Mytilus edulis: one gene and its partners. The protein of the gene in region 3 purifies or fractionates together with the protein of the main gene of each other region. This does not show direct contact. Links are inferred from orthologs where the notes say so. Each region holds a gene or a part of one and is shown on either strand. Other genes may lie near its edges.

What was found. The genes of interacting proteins can lie anywhere in the genome.
Region 1: the proteins of anaphase-promoting complex subunit 2-like (region 3) and anaphase-promoting complex subunit 13-like purify together in Homo sapiens (affinity purification with mass spectrometry; 3 studies listed by BioGRID and IntAct, counting the BioPlex papers as one, with this or other methods). This does not show direct contact. The link is inferred for Mytilus edulis from reciprocal best matches to the Homo sapiens genes ANAPC2 and ANAPC13.
Region 2: the proteins of anaphase-promoting complex subunit 2-like (region 3) and cell division cycle protein 27 homolog purify together in Homo sapiens (affinity purification with western blotting; 20 studies listed by BioGRID and IntAct, with this or other methods). This does not show direct contact. The link is inferred for Mytilus edulis from reciprocal best matches to the Homo sapiens genes ANAPC2 and CDC27.

The regions. Positions count from the first base shown.
Region 1 is NC_092345.1:12,227,599-12,238,060, reverse strand, and holds anaphase-promoting complex subunit 13-like, read right to left. Parts: upstream 5,126-10,462; 5' UTR 4,993-5,125; intron 2,093-4,992; 5' UTR 2,084-2,092; coding exon 1,856-2,083; 3' UTR 1,754-1,855; downstream 1-1,753. Other genes in the region: outer dynein arm-docking complex subunit 3-like, read left to right, coding at 5,209-5,290, 6,470-6,591, 7,059-7,136, 7,525-7,704, 8,142-8,246, 8,669-8,917, 9,188-9,331, 9,837-9,997. UniProt on the Homo sapiens protein: Component of the anaphase promoting complex/cyclosome (APC/C), a cell cycle-regulated E3 ubiquitin ligase that controls progression through mitosis and the G1 phase of the cell cycle.
Region 2 is NC_092357.1:17,612,429-17,622,798, forward strand, and holds the start of cell division cycle protein 27 homolog, read right to left. Parts: upstream 5,126-10,370; 5' UTR 5,020-5,125; coding exon 4,996-5,019; intron 876-4,995; coding exon 800-875; intron 189-799; coding exon 41-188; intron 1-40. UniProt on the Homo sapiens protein: Component of the anaphase promoting complex/cyclosome (APC/C), a cell cycle-regulated E3 ubiquitin ligase that controls progression through mitosis and the G1 phase of the cell cycle.
Region 3 is NC_092345.1:6,934,033-6,944,345, reverse strand, and holds the start of anaphase-promoting complex subunit 2-like, read right to left. Parts: upstream 6,173-10,313; 5' UTR 6,144-6,172; coding exon 6,069-6,143; intron 5,939-6,068; exon of another isoform or gene 5,901-5,938; intron 3,511-5,900; coding exon 3,066-3,510; intron 2,696-3,065; coding exon 2,590-2,695; intron 1,697-2,589; coding exon 1,564-1,696; intron 846-1,563; coding exon 563-845; intron 1-562. UniProt on the Homo sapiens protein: Together with the RING-H2 protein ANAPC11, constitutes the catalytic component of the anaphase promoting complex/cyclosome (APC/C), a cell cycle-regulated E3 ubiquitin ligase that controls progression through mitosis and the G1 phase of the cell cycle.

The DNA of each region.
Region 1 (10,462 bases), about 5.3 Mb from region 3:
TTATGGTCCTTGGACTTAGAAAATTCACTCAAATAATCAGTTTTCCACACTTTTTTTGTCATTCTTGAAGATATCGATTTGATAATTGGTATATTGTTTTATCATGACAAGTTACAGATCAATTTGGGATTTTGTTCTGGTCTAATGATTTTGTGCAGAGTTATGGTCCTTTGACTTAGAAAATCCACTAAAGTAATCAGTTTTCCACACTTTTTTTGTTATTCTTGAAGATATTGATTTTATAATTGGTATATAGGTTTATCATCACAAGTTACAGATCAAGTTTGAACTTTGTTCCCTTCTGAAGATTTTATGCAGTTATGGTCCTTGGACTTAAAAAATTCACTAAGTCAGTTTTCCACATTTTTTAACTTCAGGCTTAAAGATATTGACTTGATATTTTGTTGATATAAAGTTTACACCATGACAAGTTATAGATCAAGTTAGAATTTTTGTTCCAATACAATGAATTTTTAACCATTAGGGGACGATAAAATTGAAAATGGAAATTGGGAATATGTTAAGAGACAACAACCCAACCAAAGAGCAGACAACATGTAACATGCAATACTCGCAGAATGCTTTTTTGTCATGTGAATTACTCACTTATTATCCAACTAAGATAACTATGTACACGAGGAATGGTATATGGGTTCCTTGCAAGTCTGCATGTCAGTCAGAAAGGGTTAACCAGACTATAACTTCATTTCATGGATCAGTGATCAAGGTTAAAGTTTATGTGATCAGAAGCTGTAAGCAGTAGTTCCACTTTATTTGGTGTATGGAATGATTGTAAGGTCAACATGTCTGTCAGATAGGTATCATCTTTCCTTGATCTCATTTTCATGGTTAATGGATCAGTGATCAAAGATAAAGGTTATGTGATTCTCAAATAGTGTATTAATGAAAACAAGGTGTACATGTCTGTCTGGAAAAGTTAATCTGACTTTAACTTCATTTACAAGTTTTCCTGATTAAGTCTATTTCCTAGATACTTCAAGAAATGGGTTCAACTAAATTTGATGTATGAATAATTACAAAGATGTGCATATCTTTTTGGTATAATTCATTTGACCGTGACCTCATTTCATGGTTAATTGGTCTGTTTCTTGTATGCTAAAAGCAATAGGCCAGCTAAATTTGGTGTATTGAATAATTGTAAGGTGTTAAGGTCTGTCTGACTTTTATTAAGTTTATGTAATCACTCATGTAGAAGACTGGAAGTTGTTAAATATCTCCTTATTTCACAAAAAAAGTATCACAAACTTTGTATGCTTGGAATCAGTGCAAGATTTATATTTTTATTCTAAAGATAATTTGAGACAGGTGAAAAGACCTTCAATTGTAAGACATCTCTAAACATTTGGTTTAAAACTTTAATAAAATGTCAGCTTATTTCACTACAGGTGTATTCCTCACTCTGATTTCACAATATTAGAGAAATTTTGCAGATTTTTCAGTTGGTGCTGATAATCAACTTGTGAATAATCAATTTAAATTAGTTGATTTTTTTTTTAATTCATATATCTTGTACTATACATGTGTAACACTACAGGAAGAAAATGATAAAAAAAAACAAAAAAAACATATATATGCACATGTATCCATTTTGTCTCAATGAAGTATTGATCATGAAAACAAATGCAAAGTCATCCATATTTTTCAATTTACAGTTCAATAATTATTATACATATTGCTGAAATTTATATGTTTGTTTACTGTATATTTTCTGCTACATTGTATATATCCAAGCAAAATTTCATCATCTTTGTCATTGTCCAACAGATCCCTTGTTGCCTATCACATGTATGATGATTTGATAATCATTCAAGAAACAAGATTTATTCTTATTCATCTAATTGTTGGTTGTAGTTGGTGGTTGTTCATGTAAGACTGATAATCCTAAGTCTGTCCACTTTTGTTCCTGTTCAGTAAGTGTCTCGTTGGTTGGTCCATTATCTGGTTCTAGTTCTGGTAATTCCATTTGTGGAACATTGATATCTTCCATTGGTAATTTATCTTTTCTCCATTCTTCATCCACTAAGTCCATTAATCTTCCATCTCGACAAACTTCACTGTCCATTTTATTTGTCTACAAAAAAGCCACATTAAGAATTTTTTTTTAGATTTATATGCATCAAGTAATAATAAAAGTTTGAAAAATAAATATTTAAAAAGTTAAGCATTCTTATTCAAAACAAATCAATTTGATAAATTTAGAGATGAGGATCCCTATGCTGTATTTCAGTCCTGAATTACAAAATATCAAAGTCAGCTTCACTGCACAAAGATAATAAAATAAGATAATCCATCTGCTTGTGAGCACAAAAAATATAAAGATTTCTATCATTTTGACATATATATATACACTTAAATTTCAACTTGTTATATTGTATTTAATGATCGAATACATGACATTTGTGTGTAGGCAATTTATATGTGCAATCAAAACAACGGACATGACAAATGCATCCGATATTTGTCAAATCAAGCAGGAGTACCTTTACCAGATGGATTATTATTCCTATCTGTTGCTTCAGATGTTTAAGTGTTTTTTTTTACTCTTTTACACAACAGTGATATTGATGCCATTGAATGGGTAAGATAACTGACAAATGAAGGATTTTTGTGAAATTGATTAATCGTTAATCATATTGATAACTCTAATTTGTGTTTGTTATACATTTATATATTGAAGAATCCATTACTTTATCAAAAGAATGACTTTTTGATTACTGTAAAAGACAGGGTATTAAATTATTTATAGGTAAACAAATAATGAAGAAAGTTCAGCACAATTCTGTTGTTCAACTTTATGAGTCGCATACAATGATACATGACATATTTTATAGTGGAAATGATTTGTTCTAATCGTAGATCCTCATCTACGACAAAAAAGTTCTAAATTTGACTCAAATTTAGAACTTTATAAAAACAGCTTACAGCATTTTCACCAAATTCTATGTCAATGCTAAAAATTGCTACATGTATATCAGTCTTCACGCTGAGTGGCAGCCCAGGCTTGTAAAATTGCTCTCGGGCCTGTAAAAATCATATTTACAGGCCAACAGAATCTAACTAAAAATTTTCAAAAATTGAGCTCCGGGCCTGTAGATTTAACATTTCATCGTAAAGACTGGTTATATGTCATATATGTTGACAGTTGTTTTCTAGATGGAAGCTCAATAAAATATTTAATGCCTCACTGGCAAATTGACCCACTTTTTTAGCTCACCTGACCTGAAAGGTCAAGTGAGCTTTTCTCATCACTTGGCGTCCGTCGTCCGTAAACTTTTACAAAAATCTTCTCCTCTGAAACTACTGGGCCAAATTTAACCAAACTTGGCCACAATCATCCTTGGGGTATCTAGTTTAAAAAATGTGTCCGATGACCTGGTCATCAAACCAAGATGGCCGCCATGGCTAAAAATAGAACACAGGGGTAAAATGCAGTTTTTGGCTTATAACTCAAAAACCAAAGCATTTAGAGCAAATCTGACATGGGGTAAAATTGATTATCAGGTCAAGATCTATCTGCCCTGAAATTTTCAGATGAATCTGACAACCCGTTGTTGGGTTGCTGCCCCTGAATTGGTAATTTTAAGTAAATTTTGCTGTTTTTGGTTATTATCTTGAATATATATATCATTATAGATAGAGATAAACTGTAAACAGCAATAATGTTCAGCAAAGTAAGATTTACAAATAAGTCAACATGACTGAAATTTTCAGTTGACCCCTTTAGGAGTTATTGTCCTTTATAGTCAATTTTTAACCATTTTTCGTAAGTCTTAATAATCTTTTACAAAAATCTTCTCCTCTGAAACTACTGGGCCAAATTTAACCAAACTTGGCAAAAATCATCTTTTGGGTATCTAGTTAAAAAAATGTGTCCGATGACCCGGCCAACCAACCAAGATGGCCGCCACAGCTAAAAATAGAACATATGGGGTTAAATGCAGTTTTTGGCTTATAACTCAAAAACCAAAGCAGTTAGAGCAAATCTGATGGGGTTTAATTGTTTATTAGGTCAAGATCTATCTGCCCTGAAATTTTCAGATGGATCGGACAACTGATTGTGGGTTGCTGCCCCTGAATTGGTAATTTCAAGGAAATTTTGCAGTTTTTGGTTATTATCTTGAATACTATTATATGATTATAGATAGAGATAAACTGTAAACAGCAATAATGTTCAGCAAAGTAAGATCTACAAATAAGTCAACATGACCAAAATTGTCAGAGAACTCCTTACGGAGTAATTGTCCTTTATAGTCAATATTGAACAACTTTTCGTCATTTTTGTAACTTGTACAAAAATCTTCTTTTCTAAAACTATGGGCCACATTTAACCAAACTTGGCCACAATCATTACTAGGGTATCTATTTTAAAAAAGTGTCTAATGACCCTGCCTGCCAACCAAGATGGCCGACATCAGTAAATACAGTAACAGGTGAGTGACACAGGCTCTTGAGAGCCTCTAGTTGCCAACTCGCCCCACTTTTAAAAAAAATCACACCAAACTGGTTTACCAATTTGACCCACTTTTAAAAATCGCCCCACTTGAGAAAAGGGTTAAATCCCGTTAATTTTTCTCCTTTAACTTTTTATACATTGTGACTTGGATGGAGAGTTGTCTCATTCAATAGCAATAATACCACATCTTTTTATATGTATATAAGAGGGGCGAGTTGGCAGCGGGATTTTTGTCCTTCATAAATGGAGCTATCATAAAAGTTATCTAGCCTACATGTATTTTCAATGGGATTTTACCCTTTTTTCCTAAACAAAAGTGAGGCGAGTTGGTAAACAAGTGGGCGAGTTGGTAAACAAGTGGGGCGAGTTGGTAAAAAAGTGGGGCGAGTTGGTAAAAAAGTGGGGCGATTTGTCATATTCTCTCTTCTTTATGTCAATTGATTCTTATTTTGCCAACAACTGATTTCAGTTTTGTTATCCTTACTAAATTTTAGCAGGGACCGTTTCGCAGTACTTACTACTATTTATTCCTCCACGTAATACTTTATATCTATAAACTTAAAAATATAAACAATGTAATTCGTATTCTTCGTTCAAGGGAGATAATAAATCATGTCGAGTTAGCTCCACTTGGACCTGCGCACTTTGAGGGCACCTTGGAGACGCACCAACAAACTGAAACTTAAAATAGGACAACAAACTGTGCGAAAGATTGTCCGTCTGTTATCATCAAGATGCCGGTTGGAGGAAACGCCGTAATGCAGCGGCCTGTCCAGGAACAAATTGAAGAACTCAAGGCAAAGATCGCACTCCTTGGTAAGACGAGACTAAACAATATTGTCATTCAATTCCAAAAATTATTGTTGACCTATAATCTGATAATATGGCCATGTTTACGGCACAGAAATTACTCCGATATGCACTTTATTAATTCTTAAGGCATGACTAAATTATTGAAGTTGAACTTTTTTTTAATTTATTTTGAAATAGATTTGAATAGACAAATTTCGAGTTCGACGGTTCGAAACCCACGAACATCCTGAACATGACGAATTATTTTGAATAATTTTCGGCAAATTGAATTATCATAATTGACAATCAGCACTGCTGTCATAAAGGAATTGTGATTAAGTACATGTACCTACAGATAAATCATTATTTCTAGTTTATCCTGTACTATGACAGTAAGACTATGTCGATCACTAAGATGCTTGATGAACATTAAAAGTGCAGGGATATAGGTGATCCCTGGCCCAGCTATCTGGTAAATGACTAGTCCAAATAATTATGACGTCTGGCAAGGCTATTTTAATTTTTTTCTGGGACGCCTCCAAATAATTATGACGTCTGGCAGAAACAGAAAATGGTAAAATTCAAATAAATAAATGCCAAAACTTCACTATACACCTTATCGATTTTTTTTCGGCATTACTGGACATCACAAAAGTTCCCCTAAAATTTTGACGTCATAATAGAAAATATCTGACACCATGATGGAAAGTGATTGTATGTAGTCAAAAATTCAAGAAGAACCGATTTCTAGGGATAAGGTAGGTGTATACTTTACTCTAAGTAAAGTTAAAACCCTACCTAGGCTATTGCCCCAATCTTTTTTATGGAACTCTGGCTTTGGCAAACCAACATGTCTGTTACATGTATATATTTGAACAATAACTATTGAGAGGTCATAATTTTTATTGATATAAAAAATTAATAAAAACTACCAACCTAACATGCATCGTTTAAGTTGTATTTCGTCATATTTCATTCTTTTATGACACAAAAAATTACATGCATCCTGGACTCATCAAAATCTTTCAGGCTTTGTGATGCCCACTTGACCTCTATATATATATGTAAGAAAATTATATCAAATCCCAGCACTACCCAAAATATTTATCCTTCTGTTTATCAAACTTTAATTTATAAACATACAAAGAAATTACCAGTTTCATTTTAATGTTGTTTTATAATTGTTCGATGTAAATTTTGTAGAGGGTGATCGAAAGGCATATTACGAGACATCTCAACATGCTATGAAACACAATCAAGACACTGTCACAAAACTGAGAAAAGAAGATAAGGAATTAAGAAAGAAACTTAGTGATTCCCTCTCTGTAAGTATAACATAGATTCATTACCTCGTCCTAAAGTATTCTAGTTTTTTTTTCATCTTTTGGTTGGGTGTATGAGGTTCTTACTTGTAAAATGAATCAACTTGCTATATCACCATCAGGTAATTTGCTTCATATAAATTATTATGGTAAGCCATGAATATATTTCACAGCACAACATTGTATACTGTAAAACTTGTTTGTTGAATTTTCAGTTCCATCTATTTTTGTTACTTTGTTGACTTTATCATCAGAGTTTTAGACATCTATAAAAAAAAAAATATACAAGACTGTCACCCAATAATGAGATTTCATCTCAAACTCAAACAAGTTAGAAACTGTTTATCTTACTGTTTGACGTGTGAGATAACCCTGTCTTTAACACAGTCTTCTACTTCATGATGTTTATAGATTCACTATTTCTCTTTTATTTGTATTGTAAAAATTTAATATTTTATTTTAAATTGCAGCAAGATCAGCATGTCATTAATAAAGCCTTCCAAGACAAACCTGTACAGAGAGCTGAATTCAAAAATAAAACTGGAGATGTAAGTATCAATTGTAAAATATCTTTCACAACTTTACAGATGATAGTTAAAAATGTGGCTGACCATCATTGCATTGTACTATACAAGATTGTTTGCAAAATATGTATCAACATGAAATCTATAGAGACCTGTTGAAGTTGACAACTTAAAGCCACATAGATGTTCTTGTTGAGATTCAGAATACACTTGGCTACTTAATGTTTGTCATGGGACTCACCATTTCTAAAAAATATGAATAATTCTCTTACACTATATCCTAAGTTATAAAAGGCCTCTATTTCAAAACCTATATGTATACAAAATTAAAAAAAAATATGGAATATGAAGCCAGCTTCACATTGACTCTACAAAAATATGAAATATTGACATTCTATTTGTATGTTTGTAGCAAGCAATTACAGTAATGAAACACAAATTATGTGATTCAAAGAAGAAACTAAATGCATTGAAACATCAGTCTGCTCAGAAACAAAAGAAGATAGAGATTTTACAGACCAGGTATGATCAGATGCAGAAGGACTCTGCTGATGCTGTCTCTACAGATAAAGGAGAATCGGTTGATGCTCAGGTAAATTACTTATATGCTTTTTCATGCTATACATAAACTACTTTTGTAATTGAAAAAAAATGCCTATATATACATGATACATGTATATGTGTAACATTCTTTGCTGTTGGGTGAGCCTAGGCTCCAGTGTAGAAGACCATAATTTGACCTATAATATTTTACTTTTACAAATTGCAACTTGGATGGAGAGCTGTCTCATTGAATGCACTCATACATTGTACCACATCTTATATCTATTTGACATTTACTTAATTATAATTCTGGTTTATTAGCAACTTTTCTTAGCTTAAAATAACATCTTGCATCCTTCTGTACATGAAGTATACATTTTTGCACATAGTTAAACTTTTTTTTTAAATCTTTATTTAAGTAATGTGCAAATTCAATGATAAAACATTCAAAGAGAGATAATATATTTGTTGGGTTTTATTTTTCAGACTCTTAGATACCTTGAAAACAGTTATGACAAAACAAAACTGAAGATGGATGAAGCCACACATTTGTACAGGATTTACCAGGATATTAATAGAAAATTATGTGTGGTAAGTGTTTAAAAATGTTTACCAACTTGTAATGAAGTGGTTATGGCTAAGTGATTAATATTCAAGTGAACTGTAATATTTTTTGAAAAAAAAATTCTGACTCGATCTCTAACCTTCAAGACAATATTCAAAATGTTAAATTTAATTTGTCTATTGTTAGAAAAACAAGTATTTCAGAAGATATAAAATACTGATTTTTTTTATAAACAAAAAGAATTGTCAGTTAAATTAAAAGAACAATAACTCTACCGAGCATTGGCATTATGTTGTGTATTATTTAAATTCTCAGAAAAATAGTCACATAGGAGAGCAGCAGCTTACAAGGAAACAGTACTTCGAGAGAAAAAAACTTTTCCACTTTAATTTCATTTATTTCAAGTCTATTATTGACTAAAGGAATTATGATGTTTTGATTATTACAGGAAGCAGAAAAATTCCCAAGTGTATTGGACTCAATGGAATGTGAAATCAGAAGTGTCAAAGCAGAACTGAAGGAACTCAAAGCCATGCACGATGATGCTCAGATTTCCAAAACAGCAGCACAGGAAGAATTAGCTAAACATGAAAAGATCGTATACTCAGAAAGGAAACAGAGAGAAATAGAATTACAGAAAATGAAGAAAGAGGCTGAAGAAAAGAAAATACAACATGAAAGAATAGAAAGAAGAATTGTAAGATTATCTCCCTTTGAAAGATACATTTTTAGGAAAACTTTATTTTTGTCAGATGTAATTTCTTATTCAGTTTAAGAATAGTTTGAACTTTCTAGATATCTGTATTTTACAACTATACATGCCAAAAACAAGATAATGAAAGATTTATCACTTGAAAAAAAGACATGTTGTTAATTTCCAAATTTTTATTTAATAATTTCATTTCGATGTGAATTACAGAGAATTTTTTTATGCATATGTACATCTGTTAAATTGTTTACACTTTAGCAACAGAGAGGTTCTATTCAGCAAGATGAACTAACACCACAGGAGAAACAGGCCTTACAGGGTGAAGAACAACAACAAAAGATTACATCATATGAGGAAGCTTTTAGAAGAATTAAAGAAGCAACTGGTGTTTCTGATACTATGGTAATTTATACTCTCAGTTTATTACTTGGGACCATTTGTTAAAGATTTTAACTGTAGATTTTCAGTTAACAAGAAAAGAGAAAAATATGATTACATCTCTTAATTTCATGACTAATTTTTAACCAGTTAAAACTTTAAATTTTGCATTTAACCATTTATGGTCTTCTAAAAAAAAATGTCTGGAGGTATCACAAATATGCAAATGAACATATAGGGTTAAGTCCTACTTCAGTGATAAAAATAATGAAGTTTCAACACACGACAACATTAAATACATCAGTTATTCACATATAACAAACATCCAACAGTTTATTAGTTATTCATGCCACACAAAAATAGTCAATTATTTGTTGATAAAACTGTTTTGTATCCAGATTTTTATTACTTTTTTTAATAAAATAAAAATAAAAAAGAAGCAAGTGAGTCAAACTTAGAAAATAATTTATACATTAACAGATTTTCAATAAAAACAAACAAAATTTTAATTGATTCTAAATGTTTACAGGAAGTTGTAAGGCGGTTTGAAAACCAAGGAGATACCACAAAACATCTTGAAAATCTACAGAAAGACAATGAAAAGGGTATAACAAGACTGAAGGAGGATAAGGAGAAATTACAACAAGAATTTGAAGAAATGAAATATTCTGGTGATGCTAAACTATCAAGGTATGATGGCAGTAAATAGCCAAGACTGAATCAGGACGGCATATTCCACTTAAAATTATCAAGCCAAATATTCAAAACATTATCTTTAAGATATATACCAGTCACATTATCTTTAAGATATATACAAGTCACATTATCTTTAAGATATATACAAGTCACATTATCTTTAAGATATATACCAGTCACATTATCTTTAAGATATATAAAAGTCACATTATCTTTAAGATATATACAAGTCACATTATCTTTAAGATATATACCAGTCACATTATCTTTAAGATATATACCAGTCACATTATCTTTAAGATATATACAAGTCACATTATCTTTAAGATATATACCAGTCACATTATCTTTAAGATATATACCAGTCACATTATCTTTAAGATATATACCAGTCACATTATCTTTAAGATATATACCAGTCACATTATCTTTAAGATATATACAAGTCACATTATCTTT
Region 2 (10,370 bases), on a different chromosome or scaffold from region 3:
AACATGTTTAAAGCTTGAATTTTTAATGGAAGATACTCACTTATTCATTTCCATACAGCATTTAGCCAGGAGATATTTACACTGTGGTGTAGGGCAGCCATGTTTCTGTAACATCATATAGGCTTTGATTGGTTTGCCTGCTCTGTAGTAACATGTGGCAACTAAGTGTAGGGCATCGTCATTTGATACTGAAATGAAATAAAATGAAAGTAGTTTTTAATTGTTTGCAGTGAGATAAAATAAATCTAAATGAAAAGATTCTTTATTAATTAATGGATTTTTACTAGAAAAGAATGCAAACTTAATTTGTAATTTGTAACATTTCCTACAAACTTAATTTGTAATTTGTAACATTTCCTATAAACTAAATTTGTAATTTGTAACATTTCCTACAAACTTAATTAGTAATTTGTAACATTTCCTGCAAACATGATAAATGTTTATTCAAAAAGTAATTTATAATAAAAAATTTTATTCAACATGTTAAATTATATCTGTTCTCTTTGAAATGCAACTCCTACAACTGTTCCAAATGGTATATTTTGGGTAAAATTGTCAATTTGATAAAGAAGAATAGTTGCATGTAAATAAAATATTATTAAAAAAATCCTGTTAGTTTTTGTAATTTTTTTTTCTTCAAAAGCGATGGAAAACTTGAATTACATGATACATGTACATGTATATGTGTACATGTAAGTGCATGTGTGACAGCTCTCAGCGTGGTTTGTGAAACAAATATATATAAATGAAATTTAAAGTATTTATATGTAATTTTGTTAACAATTCAAATAATGTTTACCTTCTGCATATAATCTTTCAGCCAGGAAAGTGGCATCTGTATAGGCATAATGGTTCAGGGAGTCCCATATTGCTGCCTGAAATTGACAAATTCATGTTGTGTTTATCATGTTTATATCGTTGTTTTCCCAATATGTAGTAAAAAATGAATTCAACTTATTTATTTTAATCATGAATCATTTGACTTTATATGTTTGATTTACATGTGTTTTAGTGTCAAGGAGATTTTTAAAAGGATCAGAACCCTACTCAGATTTCAGGGAAAAAGACTAAAAATATTAAACTTGGTAAATTTGACAGACCTGAATTTTATGGATACTGAAAATTCAATGTTCTTGAAATTCAGGTCCATCAAATTTTTACTAGTTTAATCATTTATCATGTTTATATTTACTGGAAGTGACATTTCTTGGAAATTCTTGAAAACCATTTTGAAAACAAAATAAATATTTGCCAACCTCAATCGTTTCTTATTTTATCATTTCTTTTGGGTATTTTTGGAATATTTTGCATCGATAAGCACAAAAAAGGTACATGTAAGACTTTGTAACTGTGTAAAATTAACTAGCTGGCAATGATGAATACATGCCAAAATTTGTTCTCAAGGTCCCTCCCCCCCAAAGAAAAATTCTTTCTCAAAGTCAAGATGTAATCAAAGAGCTGATAGCTCTGAGGTGGAAGAAGGTGAATAAAAGGTAACTTGAATTACCATAAAAGCAGCCCCACTAACCCTGGCTGCTTTGTTCCATTTTTATTATGATGTATTTTTTTTCTTCAAACAAGAATGTGTCATAAGTAAATGGATTTCCCATCCCTACAATCATTTTCTATGTTCAGTGGACTGTGAAAATTAGGTAAAAACATGTTTAACTTGGCGGTAAATTAGAAAGATCATATCATAAGAAACACATGTGACGATTTCTAAGTTTCAAGTTAATTGGATTTCAAGTTCATCAAAAACTACCTCGACCATAAACTTTAACCTGAAGCAGGATGGGCGGACAAACCAGAAAACATAATGCCCATAAATGGGGCATAAAGATAGTAAGACTTGTTACATACCCGCCAACTTTTGAAAGTTCTCATGGTTTTTTTTAGTGCGCAACAACAATTTCAAACGTTACAATTTTTAGCAAAGTATTTTGCACGATCTGGATTGTCTAGAAAAAGTGTCATATTTGTATGATAAACTTGCATGTCTTTTTCTTAAGTCTGTTTGCATGATTCTAGTTATTAAATCGGTAGAAAAGATGAACAAGTAGCTAGCAGATCAGGGTTTATCTATTTGTGTAAGAATATTAGATCATGGCTTGTAGAAATTTCCAATTTTGAATTATGCACAAAGATGGACTTTTAACAGGTTGGGAACAACACTCCAAATGAGGGGTAACCCTCACTGGAAGAACATTACAACCCACTGTAAAAAATGAGCACCTTTATATTCATATTATTTGATGAAACTTTTCCCCAAGAACTATGCATCTATTAAGTATTAAATGGTCAAAACATGTCAAAAGAATTTTGTGATGTTTCTTAACTTATACATGTTATATATCTTCTTTATTAATTTGACCCCTCATTTAGAAAAGTTGTTCCAAATATAATGAATTTTCCCACTTTTGAGTTAAAAATCTTAAAAATTTTACTTTAAGGTAGTACAGTAGACTCCGGCCAACCGGATACCCAAAATGTCAGCTAAAAATATCAGATTACCCGATATATTCAATTAGACGATGAATGTATATTCATTGAATATTCTGCAATAATAATTAAGCAGATATATTGCTTAATATGTGAAAGGGCTGGAGGACTGATGGAGTGTTTTTTATCAGTTACATCACCACGATGGTTGCTTAAAAAATTATCAGCTGATTATGTAATGATTGAATTTGTTTGCACTTGCAGTTTTTAAATCCTATATTTATTAAAATAAGTCAAATGTCCTGAAATATTTATGTGAATTATTATCTCCCATCCATAGTTTGTCTTTACTTGTTTAGTAAACAAATTAAATATCCATTATTTACATTTTCACACAGGTAAACTAATTTGGCTATAAATAGATCAAAGCATGTCTGTGGAGAATCTCTAATCTAAAATGGTAATTGTTATAATTTTATTTCTTTAAATAATCAAATTTAAATTTATGAAAATAATCATGATTGATAAAATAGTATTGCATAAAGTTTAAGTTTTCGGAAGACTATTTATGGTTAGGTCATGGTTCTAGAGGCTTCTTAACAAATTTGTAAACAAACTAATATGGCCGCCACACGTGATTACCTTTGCACATGTGAAAAAAATATTTCTGACAAAAGTCAGATTTCTCTTATCAAAAGGGATTTATATTTATATTGCAATAAATTATTCAGAAGGAGGTACATTCAGTTTAGATTATATTTCATATTCTATAAGCATTTAGAGTTTAATAAAAATTCTCCCAACAGCAACGTACTGACTGCTCTTGTCAACTGAGTCTTGAATAATTTTATAAATAGATTCAAACCATTTGAAGTAAAAGGGTATCTAATTCACATGACAAAGGAAAACAATGAATAAAGACAACAATTTAATAAGAAATAGATCCCTTTTATTTATTAAAAACAAAATCTTCTTGTCTACAAGATTGCAAATTCGTAACTTCAAGGGCGAACATGTAAACAGGGCGAGTTGTCCCGATACTAAATTCATGCATGCGTACTACAAATATCTACAGTAAAAACATCCGGTTACAAATAAACAAATAACGTTCATGTAGAAGAGATGAAATCTAATAATTAACATAAATAAAAGGATACACATTTACGATAGTGATTGTTTTTCAATCCTAATTTACAAATTAAATGATTCAAATGCATAATCATGCATTAAAATCGATGTCTGGAATCAGAAGTTGTTATGAAATTGTAATACACAGAAACGAATGCGGCATACAGAGGATTAATGATTTTAAAGTCGGCACCATAAGCCTTCAGAAGACACTAAAAATGGCTTCAGCGTTATGACATCGTAGAAAGATGTCTCAGAAGAAAATCAAAATAGCCTTGTGTAATTATTTGAAATAGCATTGCAAGACTCATAAATATCATGAATATTTGGACTAGACTATAGTCGCCATCACGATCACGTAAAATTGGCACCATGTTTTTTTGTTAAAATTTTTTTAAATATCAGCCGTGTTTATTCAAGATGATGTTTTTATTTAGTGAAAGTTAAATCCAGTCCAAATATCCACTACGGTCTTACTTTTTATTGTGTTTGCACTGTATAATCCTGACCTTCAAATTTTTAAGATTATTTACATTGTAAAACTGCCATCTTGGTTTCTATGAGGATCCCTTGTTCCATAACATTCGTTATTCTCCAGTAAGATCATTGTCATTGATGATACAATTTCCCGTGCTTTTTACATAAAGATGACAAAAAGCTCCAAGAGACACAAGAAAATGGAGAGCACGTGGAACTCCACGGCAACACTTCCGGCAATAACAATGTCGGATTCCACCATACAAAATAATCCTGGATTATGTGAAGGTCAGGATTATACAGTGCAAACACAATAAAAGGTAGGACTGCAGTGGTTATTTGGACAGGATTTTTCTTCCGCTAATTGAAAAACATGTTCTTTAGTAAACACGGTCTATATTCAAGAAAATTTTAACAAAAAACATGGTGCCAAATTTACGCGACAGCGACTTTTTTTTATAGAGGGACAAATCAAAATTGTTGATGTTCTGATGTTGTTATCATGATCATGGTTACCCCAGACTGATAATATTTGAAGACTAATCATGTGTGTAATTGCTGATTCATTTGCATGTAGAGAGAGTGATTTGATAGGATGTTGCAATTGGGAATTTTGAAGAAAAAAGCTGAATTTCTGAGCAGACTGGTCCTTGCCAACTATCAAGACAATGGTCTCAAGTTCAGTTGAGACTGTCAGGCTCATCATATATTTCTGATGCCAATAAATTTCTTCATGTGAACACTGCTGGTGCCAATTCAATTTTGAATGAATTTAATTCAAATCGTTAAAAAGGAGGAAATCTACGAATAACAATAAGACACCTGTTTATATGGATTCATGTCACTTTTAGTTGTTCTGTTTTTTAGCTCTAATACACTTTATTTACAGGAAATGTGACTTATTTTGGGTAGGTATATTTAGTCATCTAATAGCATTGTCAGTTTTCATACCTGTACGGGTTCTTGAAGTAACATATTACTTCTATTTTACGTTTTATTTGCCCTGTCTTTCACACTTTCGTTGATTGTATTCATTCTTTTTAACCGCCTCGATTTCAATAATATTTGGGTCACAGGGGCGATAATTCAAGACTGGTTACTTTTCTGGGACCCGGCTCGTTTCCCTTCGACACACATTTTCCTTTACAAACTTTTAAAAAAAATATTTGTATAATTTCTTCATTAACATGACATATTCTTATAAAGTAAAATATGAAGATATATGGGTTCTGTGTTGCATCTTTCGTTTTTTTTTTTTTTTTGTAGTTCGTGATTTTCTTTTTATTATTTTTTGAAAAAAGGGGGGTGTACCGAACACTTAATTGATAATGGTTTTGCCACTTTGTTTGGTCCCTGTTGTATTCAATTATAAGTATATATTTGATTTTGTGGGGGGTTTTTTAACGGAAAAAATCACTTCACCATTTAAAATACATATTTGTTCAAAGATCAAAATTGGTAAAACTTGACCAGACGCGGTTTTCATGTGGTCCACAAAAGCTGAGTAATCAGTGAAATCGGCAGGGACTTTCTTTACAAACTCTGGAAACAGTATATTAATGTATAGTATATATGTTCCTGACTAACTTTAGTATAGAAAGTCCCTGTTGAAATTTAACATATAGAAATACTTCACAATCATCGTTTCCCACACATTAGAGATAGTCATACCGCATTCGTTTAGAACAGTCTTTATTCTGTCTAACCATGAACAATTCACATTGTAGACCCTGCTCCACATGTGGCACCCGTCGTGTTGCTAATGTGATAACAAATCCGGTAAATAGTCTAATTCGGTAGGTCACATTCATGAAAGGGAAGGGGACTGTAGTTACGACGTAAGGAACATATCCGATATCATTTCGCTGAAACGGTTATTCCAAAAACGGTCAACCAACTCGTGATGGCGTCCGTAAAATTTACCAAGGGATGATTTCAACTTCACCATTTGGAACTCTTGGTTTAATAGCTTCCTTGTGAGCAGCAACCCTCTATCAAGAAAATCATGATAGGAGATACAAGCAAATTGGGATATATACCCCGTATGCAGGTGCTGTTGGAATGTTGCTACTTAGAAATGGAAAGTTCACAATTGGAAAACTGAAATCATCTTTTTTTGTCATGCCAAGAAATTGCCTCTGTTGAAATTCTGAAAATATCCCATAGAGCAAATTACATGAATGATTATTATTGACCATTTGGTATATGGCCGTGTTCTAAGCGACACGTACATGAAGGTCATAAATTAATTTCTTGAATGAAATCAAATCTTTAGCTACTAATGACTGCCGTAGGAGGTCGACCGGAATTTTTAGCGAGGATTTCTTGGCATGCGTAAAGTTTTGTTTTCAACCGACCCTCATTGTCAATTTATAGATGTAAGTCAAGATATGAGGCCGACTTAACTGTATCTGTATCAATTTTTAGAATTAATTTCATCCAAAGCTTTGATGGCTTTACTAATGGGTTTATTGTAACACTTTTTAAACTGACCGTGCGGAACGTTTTGGAAGAAAAAAAACAATGCCTAAATATGAAATATAAGATAACAACTTCCATATTTTTTAATTGGTATTTTAAGAACAAATTTGGGATTGATCCTGGTTTTGTGGCTAGCCAAACCTCGCGCTTAATGGCAATTTTAAATATACCGCTAAAATGACAATATTAATTTACATGACAGAAAACAGTACAAATAAATGCAAGAACACATAAGACTGAGAAATACACAGATAACTAATTACAATATTATACATTTCGACATGAAGTATAATCAATTAAACTTGTAATCAGAAATCATATGTCAGCTAAAATACTCAAACATTGTCAAACTTAAATATTATCGTAGAGGTTTTTAAAAGATTTTGTCAAGATGAACAAGACTAGTGCACGTGATAGCTTAAGGCGAGCATTGCAATTATTATCGGTACAGGGTTATGAACTATGTATTTTTCATATTTAGGCATTGTTTTTTGTCAGTTTTACAAGTGTTACAATTAACCCATTATTTCTAAAAAAAAATGGCCGCTTACATAACCTGACAGTTAACCATGTTAAATGTCAGTACGTTTCATGATGTTACCAAACTTGAATATTTTTTGTCATTATTACTTATTTTTGATATTTCAAATCCCGTATTTTACACGTACTTTCACTGTTTAAAACATGACGTGTAAAATCTTATCAGTGGTACCCTTATCAGTTTCATTGATTCAGATGTGAAGAAAGATTGTGATTCGTTTTTTATATTTACGATTTTCGTGCAGTACTTGGTAAACTACAGTCAATGACAGTGTGAGTAAATTTCCAAGTTATTTTATTTCATAACTTTAAGCAAATATTTCATATCAAGTTTAGCAATCAATTTCCTATGTTTCGTTTGTTTGAACTGCCGATTTTAAAATATAGATAATAGTTTGTATTTTTTTTTGATTTATGTACACTGTTTAATTAGGCTACACTTAAAAATGTTATGATTTGTCCAAACCTACCCAAAGGTTGAACAAGTGGGTAGGTAGGTAGTCTTTTTTTTTTTTTTTTACAACAAAGAGAAATTAAAGCGTCAAATGAATTTTAGTCTCCATGCCTATCTGATTAAAAAAAAACTTTTTCACATATTCAGGACAATACAAGCCTGAGATTCAGAGTAACTACAATTTTAATCCAAAATGGTTAAAGTTAAACATTTAACAATTTCTGCGGGCTTGGAAATCAAATGTTCCACTTCAAAAACAACTGTTCTAGAAGATTCCTTATCTTATAAACATAATGGATATCATAACCAAGGATAATGGGAAATACACCATCCCACAATGGGTAATATTCTATTAGGCCCCCACAAAATATGTGTGTTTCCGATTACATCTTTGAAAAAGGGTAGGTGGGTAGACATATAGTCTATGAGAAGGACATTCTGACCTTACCAATGCTTAATGAAGCAAATGGAGAAAGTTAGACAAATTAGACCAAGGATTGCTTGTAATCAGATAAACTTTTTTTGAGGTTCACATCACTTATCATTTATATTTCATATATAATCATATACATTTATTCCACTAAATTGATTATAGGTTTCGTGTAGTTTTTGTTATCTTTTTAATCGTGTTTAAATAATTTTTACAGATATATATTTATACATCTATTTTTTTTCAGTTTTTTATACCATTTTCTATCGCCTTCCATCTACTATGCACCTCGGGTGTAGGAAATGTGTTTATAAATAAATTTAAAGTGCAAGTTCAGGAAGGTGCAGAATATAATTAAGCCTTGACGGATCGATCATCGGGGCAGTGAATTTGTTAGCACTTATTTATTTTTTTATTTATTGTTTTGGAGGATGCACGTATTCAAAAGTTTTAGGACATTTTTTTGACACAAAACCACTTAAAAATGTGTCGCAGATAAACTGTATTGGAATTGCTTTGGCTACTGTAAGAACTATAATTTCAGCCATTAGAGATAGCCACTCACTCTTCCCCGCAATATCTGATATTTGGCTGGCAAAGATTGCGTCGGCGAAGCAGGATGACCTAGATTCTCCAAAACCAAAGTTTACGAAGTTGACATTGAACGGTGCCACTAAGGATGTAATTATCTATACAGGGTCAAGGAGCCGCTGGTAAACAGTTGACGTCCGTCGGATCGAATACGCACGAATCTTACTTTGGTGCTTGTAGTATTTCGGGGTAACGTATCTCTTGTATTATGTAATAAACACTCAGTGGCCCCAACCCTTTTAAAAATGGCCGAGTCCGCCTCTGATCTTTTTCAATGATTTGATTATCTTAAAGAAATGCAAATAATTTATATACGTGTCACTATACACTATAGGCGAGTGATATGAGAGCCAAATTCACATTTTTAATGCACCTACCTAACACACGGCTAAATTATATATCACTGGAAAGCTAAGAATGTGTACTTTCTAAATATCCCGGTCGATCGTCAAAAGAAATTATGGTGCATTTTTTTTAAATCGAGGTCAAAGGTCATGGGTGCAATTTCAATTCACGGATACTTCCAGTAGAAAAATCGAGTCAAAACAAATACAAAAATGAAACAATTTTATAGGAATGCTGTATTACTGTTGGGAAATATATTTCTATCATAGTATTAATTAATGTTGGTTGATTTTAACGGTAACGCATGTTACGTAACGTTTTCTCTCGGAGTCTTTGAAAATCAACCATTAAGTCACACAAATGTATCTGTAGTCGCCCTTGCATTATCTAAATCTTATTATACCTCCATATCATTTGATTGCACGTATTTACAATCATATATCTGCAAATTTGATATAAATAATTCGAAGCAAAATATTTGAAGCAAGGGGAAAATATAACATATGACATATTTTTAATTGTTTAGAAAGTTCCATGATGAGCTGTACATTAAAATTCAGGAAGCGTATGGTCTCCTGTTAGTTTGAAAGCCTACCAACCGCTTCAAGATCAGACAACCATAGGGCGGATTTTTTTTTATTATTGTAGTGCAATATGTTGAGTCTGGATCATACCGCAATTTCATTTACATCACTAAATCAGATATGACAAGAGTACTAACTAACATTACTAAAATGAGTAAAGTGCTACTAGTATATTTATATCAACAAATTGACAATTAATTTTTAATATAAAACATCACAAGGAAAATGTGACCACTCATTGTTACGTTAAACTGTGTTTGATTTTACTTTAGTCGGCCGCCGTGTATCTTGAGATATCTTATTAATCAAACAACACTTGACAAAGAAGTTTGTACTTATTTTAAATTACGCTAGTGATGACCTTCGGGCTACTTTGGCACTACGTATTACTTTTTTATATCTTGTTTCACCGCTTCAAACGGAGGACAAGGTTATCCTAATATTGAACCTTTTATTTGGCTTTCTTATGTTAAAATCCCGTTAGCGTATAACCTAAATGATCGAAACGTCGGACCAATGGGATGTATGACCATTTAGGTGTCGAAATATTGCGATATCAGAATATTATAGCTTCATTTTAACTTGTTATCTCATCATTCTTATCGGAATAATATCCATACAAAGACAACTTCCTTGGCATGGGCATATACCAGTACAGCAGAGGTTTTGCTCAAAGCGGACACAAGATCTACTATATACAGATTGAATTAAAAATTGGAAATGGACATGAGGGAGTTGTCAAAGAGACACCAACACGTTCAAAAAGCAGACAACGGCCGACGACCACAAATGGGTCATCAATGCAGCAAGAATCTCCCAAACCCGGAGGCGTTCTTCAGCTGGCTTCTAAACAAAAATGTACTAGTTTGAAATGATTATGGACGTCATACTCAGCTTTGAA
Region 3 (10,313 bases):
GTCACAAAGATGGCCATACGCGACGGCATAAAAGCAATTGCTTTAAAAAAAACCAAATTACAGAAATCACTTAAATTTTACAATTATTTAGTTTATGTACAGCTTATTTGAAAAAAATAATAAAAAATATAGATCACCGATGAGTTAAATAAGATATTTCAATTTCAAAATGCCAAAAAATTACATTTTTACACCAAAGGGAGATAATTTGGAGCTTTTCAATGATAAAACCATTTTAATTGTCATCTGGGGCCAAACTGAATCAATTTTTTTGGTAGATTTTTGTACCATATCATAAAGTTATACTAATAGTGTTATAAATAAAATTTGTAATGAAAAAACATGAAAATTTTGTACCTGTGAGCCTCCTTAAATAAACATAGGTAATTCAATCAGTCAAATAAGCAATTTTGAAATAGTGGCTAACCTTTTTAACCACCATAGCTTTTAAAAGTTACAAAATTGGGCCCCTTTTTTTTTTTTTACCAAAAAGGGCTTTATCATTTGTTATTCAATATTTACAGTCCTAAACTGATGCAGGAAAATGCCTGATGTTTCGCACCTGGATGTAAAAGTCTGGTTTCTAATGCTGATTTCAGTGATGTTACCAACTGGGTCCTCACATCAGTTTTCTCTAAACACATCTTAAGATCTAATATTGCTGGTTCAGATTCAGGAAATTCTATGATTATATTGAAGAGCTGCTCAATTTGAATGTTTGCAAAAGACTCATACAAGAAATGGAGTAGTCTCCCTTTGAATCCATCAATACAGTCAGAGTATATGTGTGTTCTGTTACCCGAATAAACCAGGTGCAACCAACCAAGAACTTTTGTATCTAACCACTGTCAACATAAAGAAAAAGATTGTTTAGTTTAACTTTTAATACAGTACATGTACATGTAGTACATATTGTAAATATTTACACAAATATCAATGAATAGTATTTTCTTGTTTACTGCAAACTAGACAATTCATGCTTTTACCATAATGTATCACCAAAAAAAGTGAAAAACCAGGAAGTTAGGAACTCTCAGAAATGCTGCCTACTCAAAAAATCTTTTATTGCCCTGATGTGATTTTTTTTTTTATTCAAATAGGCATGAAGACTAATAAACATCTGCTACTTAAATTTCTCTTTGCCAAAAAAGAAAGAAAATGCATACCTACACTGTCTCAATGTTGGGCAGGGTTTGGGCAAACCTAAAATTTTTTAAGTGTGGCCCTAGCTGTATGGGGGAGGGTTGCGATCTCACTAAACGTTTTTAACCCTGTCATACCTTTGCGCCTGTCCAAAGTCAGGAGCCATTAGCCTTTGTTAGTCTTGTATGATTATTAGTTTTAGTTCATTTATATGTTTTGGTGTTTAGTATGACATCCATTTATTTTGAACTAGTACACATTTTTGTTAAGGGGTCAATTGAAGGTCGCCTCAGGGTGAAGGATTTTCGCAAAGTGTTAAAGGCCTATTGGTGACCTTTGCCTATTCTCTGCTCTTTGATTGGGTAATTGTCTCTCTTGTCTATGATATGTTTTCTATGTCTTTTTATCTATATAACATACTGTTTCCAATATATCAATATAAGATGTTTCAAAGTTCCCTTTGCAGGAGTTCTCTACATATGTCTTTATTCTTTCATGTACAATATTTGTGACAGCTGTTCCAGACACTCTCTCTAGGATACCAATGTCATCTCTGAAATATTCAAATAGTAAACAATTAGTCTCAACTTCAAAATGTTCCTATTAAAATTTGTGACAAAAATGAAAAAAGAGCAAAAATAGTCACTCAGGGGTATAATTTCTATAGGGTTAATAATCATCAATCAAGAGCTATAGCTGCTATAAGGGGGCACTTGGCAATTTCAGCATGGGTGGCTTAATATTTGTACACATTATTGACTTCATGATTTTATAATTCAAGTTTTTCTCTATAATAGTTTTAAAAATAATATCCACTCACAAACTACCAATTTTGTTCAAATTAACATTTGAAGAAAATTTAATATTTAAGTTTTACTCTTACTGCTTTTAATAGGTTTTGAGATATACGGCAAAAACTGGAATTTAACCCTTATCTTCTTATTTACCAACATCAATCATGTTTGTTGTTTGTTCAAATTCCTTGATACCATTTTAAACTCGATTCCCTAAGAAACAGTTTAGAAAAGTTTGGTAACATTTTGTAGTTTCAGAGGAAAGATTTTATTAAATGTTTACAACAGAGGAACAGAGGGATCATGACAATGCACTTCAAATTTTTACAATAGCTCACATGGTTTTTAAGTGTGTCAAGGTATCATTGATCCTGAGACTTTTTGTAAGTGATTATTCAGTAATGATATCACTTTATTGAAGTGAATATGTGTCTGTTTACAATTAGAGTTTTCTGTTTAGAATATGTGGAAGTAAGATAGTATGTGTGAACTTGAGCATGTCACTGTTTACACTTAGTAAGACATTATGTGTGAACCTGAGCATGTCACTGTTTACACTTAGTAAGACATTATGTGTGAACCTGAGCATGTCACTGTTTACACTTAGTAAGACATTATGTGTGAACCTGAGCATGTCACTGTTTACACTTACAGTTTTCTGTTAAGATTATGGAAGTTCAACATTATGTGTTGACATAAGCATGTCTCTGAGGGCTGTTCACACCCTTTACAGCTGGTTTCTTCATCATCTTCACTGTCTACAATACAAAAAGTAAATGATAAGAGATTAAGCTTCTAAATGAAAGACACATACCCTTTAGTTCTCCAAGAAAATTTAAGAAAAAGGAAAAATGAATTATTGTACTATTGCAAAATAAAGGATTTTTAAATAAAAAGTATCTAACTTTATTGCTAGTTTATGAAATTTTCCTTTTATCTTACTGATTGATAATTTCCTTTCTCAGTTTAGTTGAGTGATATGAGATTGCTTTTCTCACTTTTGCTCAAGCAAGAAAATCAATCTCCTTGAGATTATCAAAGATAATTTATAATAACATCTATATACATGACATATATATGCTGCCAGTAAACAGTTAAGGACTAGAAATACAACATGTACATGTATACCTTGATCAGGTTCAGTTGTTGTATGATGAAACACTTTAAATGCATCTGAATAAAATTTATTCACTATTTCTTGGAAAGTTCTAGGAAAAATGGAAAACAATGTTGATTTCATTAGAAGTATGAAAGCTTCTGTCAATGAGGATGTATTAAATAAGGTGGATGACTTCCTCCAACGTTTTATTTGGGTTGTGGATTCAAGTCTTTGAATACAGGGGAGATAGTCCATTGTCACTTTATGTAAATATTCAACTGCTTCAAGAAGTTGGTCTGTTTCACTTGGCTGTATAGAAAAGTAGTTCCAGAACTGTGGACCAACTTTTTGTCGCAAATCTTCTTGTAAAGTATCCAGAAACCATTCCTCTATGATGTGTCCTAAATCTTGCTTGCATAGAATTTCAACAGCATTCTGGAATTCAACTTCTGAACTGATATATGCCTGGGAAGTCTGAAAAATTCAAATAAATAAAGTAAGATAAAGGTTGAATATATATGACACCCTTGTATCAACTCAAAACTTTTTCATTTCAAATAGTAATGTAATTGTTTTTTACATTGAATTTTTTTCCACAGATTGCTCGCAAACTAAACAACTTTTAGATCTGTGCCAGTCTGAACATATATTTTGCATATGTAACAACCATTTTTCCATTGTGGCTTCAGATATTTTGTATTATGATGCCAAAATTTTAATGAAGCCTTAAGTGATAAGGTGTATAACAGGTAACAATTAAAATTACAATGTATGTACATTGTCATAATAAATTTGTAGCTACATCATAGTATGTGTACATAAAGGGAGCCCACAACCCCTGGGTCCCCATAATTCAACTATGACATGTATGATGTGTTAAATAGAAAGAATACCAAACTATAATTTTAGGGTCATATATCCTAGACCATATCGCTGTAAAGAACGATTACATTATGATATATTTAACACACACATATGGCAATATTATTGAACGTCAAGTAAACAATAACACCAGAGGACTTAAAGTATCAATTAGCAACAAACGGGTGAGTCTTTTCACCACCGAACACCCCAAAAACCACCAACCACTATGAGAAACTGTGATATTATACAATAAAACGATAAAACAAATTATTAATCACTTATAATTAAACAATTTGTAGATTTTTATAGGCATCATTTTTGTGTTAAAATCGATAATCAATACAAGGAAAAATGTCTCTGGATTCATCACCTTCCAGATTACATTGTGTATTTTATTAAAATGATAAAATTCAAATGTATTCATAATAAGTAATAAGTTGAAGTATCTTCGATCTCTGTTCTCGGTTAGATTTTGACATAAGTCTCTTTTCTTATTAGGCCAATTAAAATTAATTGATAGATTTTCATCCCAGCCGCCCCTCTGAAATCGTCCCGCCCCGATTTTTTTTATTTAAAAAATTTACGATTTCCGAATTTTTTTCATGTCCGTTACCGGTAACCATTTATAATTTCGTTGCATTCAAACTTCCTGTTTCAAATTTTGGTGTTGTATTCCTTCAAGTTATCTCAAATGATTAAGTCGGCATATTCTGCTGCTCTATGATGACATCATTATCTACCGAGAATAGAGATTGAATACGAGAAAGGCATGAAATATTCGGATTACGAGTAAAAAGCTGTGTCTAAGAACGCAAATGGCAGTGTGTCACAAATGATTAGAAAACTGTTTTTATTTTTATTTATACAATTACTTTGTGTCAGAAAATTGGACTGTGAATGATATCCAAAGGGCATATCCAAAGGGCAAGAGTCATGGAACACATTGGTACAAAATCATGAAGGGATTAAAGAAATTGACATAAGCACTAACTTGTTAGATTTATGACCGTATGTAATTGAGCTAAAACAAAAGTCTACAATCATACGCATGTCATTACAGCAAGCCTTTACATTTACCTTATATGGCTGTCGTTTTTTGTTGATAAACAGCAAACACCCTCTGTCCCAATACCCTCAATATATTTATTAAACAACAACTTCTTTTTGGTTAAGTTCATGATTTACAATATCTTGCTCTAGCACCAAACCTATTACTTTCAACACTGTTTGAGTTTTCATTTTATTCTGTACTCATAATACATGTGTTGCCTACATTTGTACTACTACACACAATGGCTTAGAAAGCAAAATGAATTTGGTGTTGGTATAGTCCAACTGAAGAGAGCATTTCTCATGTTTCTCTACATTTTTTATGTTTATATATAGGCCAGTTTCTAAAGCTGTAATTACATGTATAACAGTGGTTGCCAATCAGAGATATTTATTCAAGAGTTTGAAAAATTATGTACATGATATAAGCTTATTTAACACTTGCCTATACGCCCTGCGGTATTAATAACTGGACACAAGAGGGTTTCGTATGAAATAAAATTTAAAAAATAAAATCCTCCCACCCACCCCAGTTTTTTTTTAAAATCTGGATGTAAATCTACTAATTAATTTTAGTTGGCCTTATTGGTACAACTATTATAGAGATAGAAGAAGAAGAAACAATTAATATTTGAACTCTAAATCTTGTGATTTGTTGAATTAATAACTTGAAAGTTATATTTAAGTCACATTTATAACGTTAAAAGACAAAATAATAAACTTTTGGGGTGTTCAGTGGTGTTTGGCGGTGTGTGGTGGTGAAACGACCTACCGGCAACAAACCACAGTACAAACATTAATTTTTTGTGGAAACAACTATTCACTGGAACCAACAAGTTGTGCATGCATGTTCTGTAGAAGCATTTAAGACCGCTCTACAAGAACACTGCCCATAACAACAGCACTCTTCTCCACCGTGTATAAAAGCCTAAAAAGGATTCTACACGTACCACTACAGATACAGACAGATTTATATTTTAGAAAACAAACCCCAACCATAACCAGATCTAAACCAGATAACACCGGCTCTTACCCCCGAAACCTTACCAACACCGTAAAGTAAATTGACCCCTAAGTAAAAGGATGGCAAATATTTTAACTCTAAAAAGAATTGCTACTTTTTTTTCTCCAGGTGTCAAAGTGTCTGTTAAAACAGTCCAAGCTCTGTTTACAAGTTCAACATTTGCCGCCATCTTGGCTTATTGACCAATCTGGGTAAAAATTATTGCTACGGCTCCGGGAACGGTTTGGAATACAAAAAAAAGTTAAAAATAGTTTTCAACTTCTGAATTTTCGATTTCAATGTAACAAACAGTTATCATTACTGATTTTCATATGTCTGGAAATAGAAAATTTCATCATATGTCTGGAAAGAGAAAATTTCATCATATTGTCTGGAAGAGAAAATTTCAAGGAGTGGTGTACTTGCCGTGTGATTTTTTTTATTGATATCTATACTATATTTTCCACCTGCAAACTTTTTTTTTTAATTCAAAATAAAGTTTAAAAAATACCAACTTATATAAAAACAAGAGTGCACACACTGAAATGTCTCCCCTTCTTTACTTATCATTGATATTATGTTGATAGACCTAAGTATAAAGCTTTATTACAACTGTCACATAAACTAAACATTAACCAAGATAACTAAACGAGACCAATAAACCACGAAAATGAGTTCAAGGTCAGATGGACCATGCCGGGCAGACATGTACAGCTAACAATGCTGCCATACAACAAATATAGTTAACCTATTACTTATAGTTTAAGAAAAATAGACCAAAACACAAAAACGTAACACTGTACAATGAACCGTGAAATTGAGGTCACGCTCAAATAAAACAAGCCCAACTGAAATAAAGATCATAAAATATTTCAATACACCAAATATATGGTTGACCTATGGCATATAGTATTAGATAAAAGGACCAAAACTCAAAAACTAAACTTTGACTACTGAACCATGAAAATGAGGTCAAGGTCAGATGACATCTGCCCGCTAGACATGTACACCTTACAATCATTCCATACAACAAATATATTAGACCTATTGCATAAAGTATGAGGAAAACAGACCAAAACACAAAAACTTAACTATAACCACCGAACCATGAAAATGAGGTCAAGGTCAGATGACACCTGCCAAAGTTCTATCAGAAAATACACTATTTCCGAGTTGTTGAAAAAAATATGTATCAGTTGAAATATTATAAATCTATTCTTTTAAATGAAAATTCACATTATAAGTGATCTGCATTCCTCACCAAATTTTGCTAATTTGATTGAAAATCTAGACCTTAGGTTCTCCGTTATATACAATCCAAAATGGCGAAGATCCCCATATCACCTGAATTAGTTGTAAGGAGATGTGGTATGGGTGCCAATGAGACAACTACCCATCCTAGTCACAATTTGTAAAAGGAAATTATTATTGGTCAAAGTACTGTCTTCAACACGGAGCATTGGCTCACACCGAACAGCAAGCTATAAAGGGTCCAAAAAATGACTAGTGTAAAACCATTCAAACGGGAAAATCAATGGTCCAATCTATATATAAAAACGAGAAACGAGAAACGAGAAACTCCTATGAAACACATCATTCGGAGAAGACGCTACTAAGTTGTAAAACTTGTGTCTGATCCTTATGTCATTTTGAACAATAAAATATGTTTAAATTAACACATCAACAAACGACATAATCTGAACATCAAATTCCTGACTTAGAACAGATGCAAACAAAGGCAGCGGGTTTAAACTTTTAAATAGGTACCAACCTTCACCTTTATCTGAAACAAAAGTGTAACATCACAACATAGGAAGACACACTAAAATATCAATTAAAATGGCCTAACACAATAAAAAGACAAATTAACACAGGTTAAAACAAACACTGAACGAATAATTTGAACTATGATACAATGTAAAGCCAATAGTAACCAATTTGACGCTAATGGTAGCCGAAAACAAGCCTGGGAGCATTCATACCCTCGTAAATAACAGGAAACAGCTGTACTCGCAAGAGAAAGAACTGCCAGGTATATATGGGTCGGAATTGTCATTGTAATGCTAACTTGTATTTGTAGTATTTGTATTTTTATTCATCTGATGAGTTAAGCCTTTTTCAACTGATTTTTATAGTTCGTTCTTATGTTGTACTGTTACACCACTGTCCCATGTTAGAAGAGGATTGGGATCCCCGGCGCTAACATGTTTAACCCCGCCACATTATGTATGTATGTGCCTGTCCCAAGTCAGGAACCTGTAATTCAGTGGTTGTACATGTCGTTTGTTTATGTGTTATATATTTTTTGTACATAAATTAGGCCGTTAGTTTCTCGTTTGAATTATTTTACATAGTCATTTCGGAGCCTTTTATAGCTGACTATGCAGTATGGACCTTGCTCATTGTTGAATGCTGTACGGTGACCAATGGTTGTTAATTTCAGTGTTATTCGGTCGCTTGTGGAGAGTTGTCTAATTGGCAATCATACCACATCTTCTTTTTTATATATCGTGTTATGATAGTTTATTTGAAGTAGCCTGGGATCCGGCCCAATCTAGCTGCGCGTCATACTGACAAGATTAGCCAGGACCCCAGGCTATATTTGAAGCTGATTGGTATAAACTTTATCGACGACTAATAGAAATTCCGGCGGCGTTGGTCTTCTTTCCATCATATAAACAACAGATATTCCGTCCAGCAGATAACATGTAAGACAATAGAGGTGAACTTAAATCATAATAAATAGTTGGTAGTGTATTAACCTTTAGTGCACGCCTGCAAATACTTTTTCCGAATAGTTTTTTTTAATTACTGTATAAGATGTTATCATTTTTAAATGTGATAATGAGCTTGGTAATTTTAACCTTGACATGTTATATTCTGACAAATGTCAACCTTTATGTGATCTCTGGAATAGTTTTGATAAAGATCAATTAGCAAAAGATCCAACTTGTTTTAAAAAAGATTGCAGACTAACTTTATTTCATTTATTTATGTCGTTTTGGCGATAAAAAATAATTATATAACCCGCCGCAATACATTTTTCTAACTTGTCATGATAAGTGACTGCCATGATCTGGTTTCTACCGCTGTAAAGAGTCAGTTGCTTGCACAGCAACAAAAACTAGAGGCTCTAAAGAGCCTGTGTCGCTCACCTTGGTCTATGTGAGTATTAAACAAAGGACGCAGATGGATTCATGACAAAATTGTGTTTTTGTGATGGTGATGTGTTTGTACATCTTACTTTACTGAACATTCTTACTGCTTACAATTATCTCTATTTATAATCAGTGGCGGATCCAGGGGGAGGGGGGGTTCCGGGGGTGCGCACCCCCCCTTATTTTTGCCGATCAATGCATTTGTATCGGGACATATGTTTTGAACCCCCCCCCCCCCCCTTTGCCCTGGGTTCCCTGGGTTCCCTGGGTTAGCACCCCCCCCCCTTTCGAAAATTCCTGCATCCGCCCCTGATAATGAACTTGGCCCAGTAGTTTCAGAGGAGAAGATTTTTGTAAAAGATAACTAAGATTTACGAAAAATGGTTAAAAATTGACTATAAAGGGCAATAACTCCTAAAGGGGTTAACTGATCATTTCAATCATGTTGACTTATTTGTAAATCTTACTTTGCTCAACATTATTGCTGTTTACAGTTTATCTCTATCTATAATAATATTCAAGATAATAACCAAAAACAGCAAAATTTCCTTAAAATTACCAATTCAGGGGCAGCAACCCAACAACAGGTTGTCCGATTCATCTGAAAATTTCAGGGCAGATAGATCTTGACCTGATAATCAATTTTATTCCTATCAGATTTGCTCTAAATGCTTTGGTTTTTGAGTCATGAGCCAAAAACTGCATTTTACCCCTATGTTCTATTTTTAGCTGTGGCGGCCATCTTGGTTGGTTGGCCGGGTCACGCCACACATTTTTTAAACTAGATACCCTAATGATGATTGTGGACAAGTTTGGTTAAATTTGTCTCGGTAGTTTCAGAGGAGAAGATTTTTGTACAAGATAACAAAACTTCACGAAAAATTGTCAAAAAATGACTATAAAGGGCAATAACTCCTTAAGGGGTCAACTGACCATTTTGGTCATGTTGACTTTTTTGTAGATCTTACTTTGCTGAACATTATTGCTATTTACAGTTTATCTCTATCTATAATTATATTCAAGATAATAACCAAAAACGGTGAAATTTCCTAAAAATGACCTATTTTGGGGCAGCAACCCAACAACGGGTTGTCTGATTTATCTGAAAATTTCAGGGCAGATAGATCTTGACCTGATAAACAATTTTACCCCGTCAGATTTGCTCTAAATGCTTTGGTTTTTGAGTTATAAGCCAAAAACTG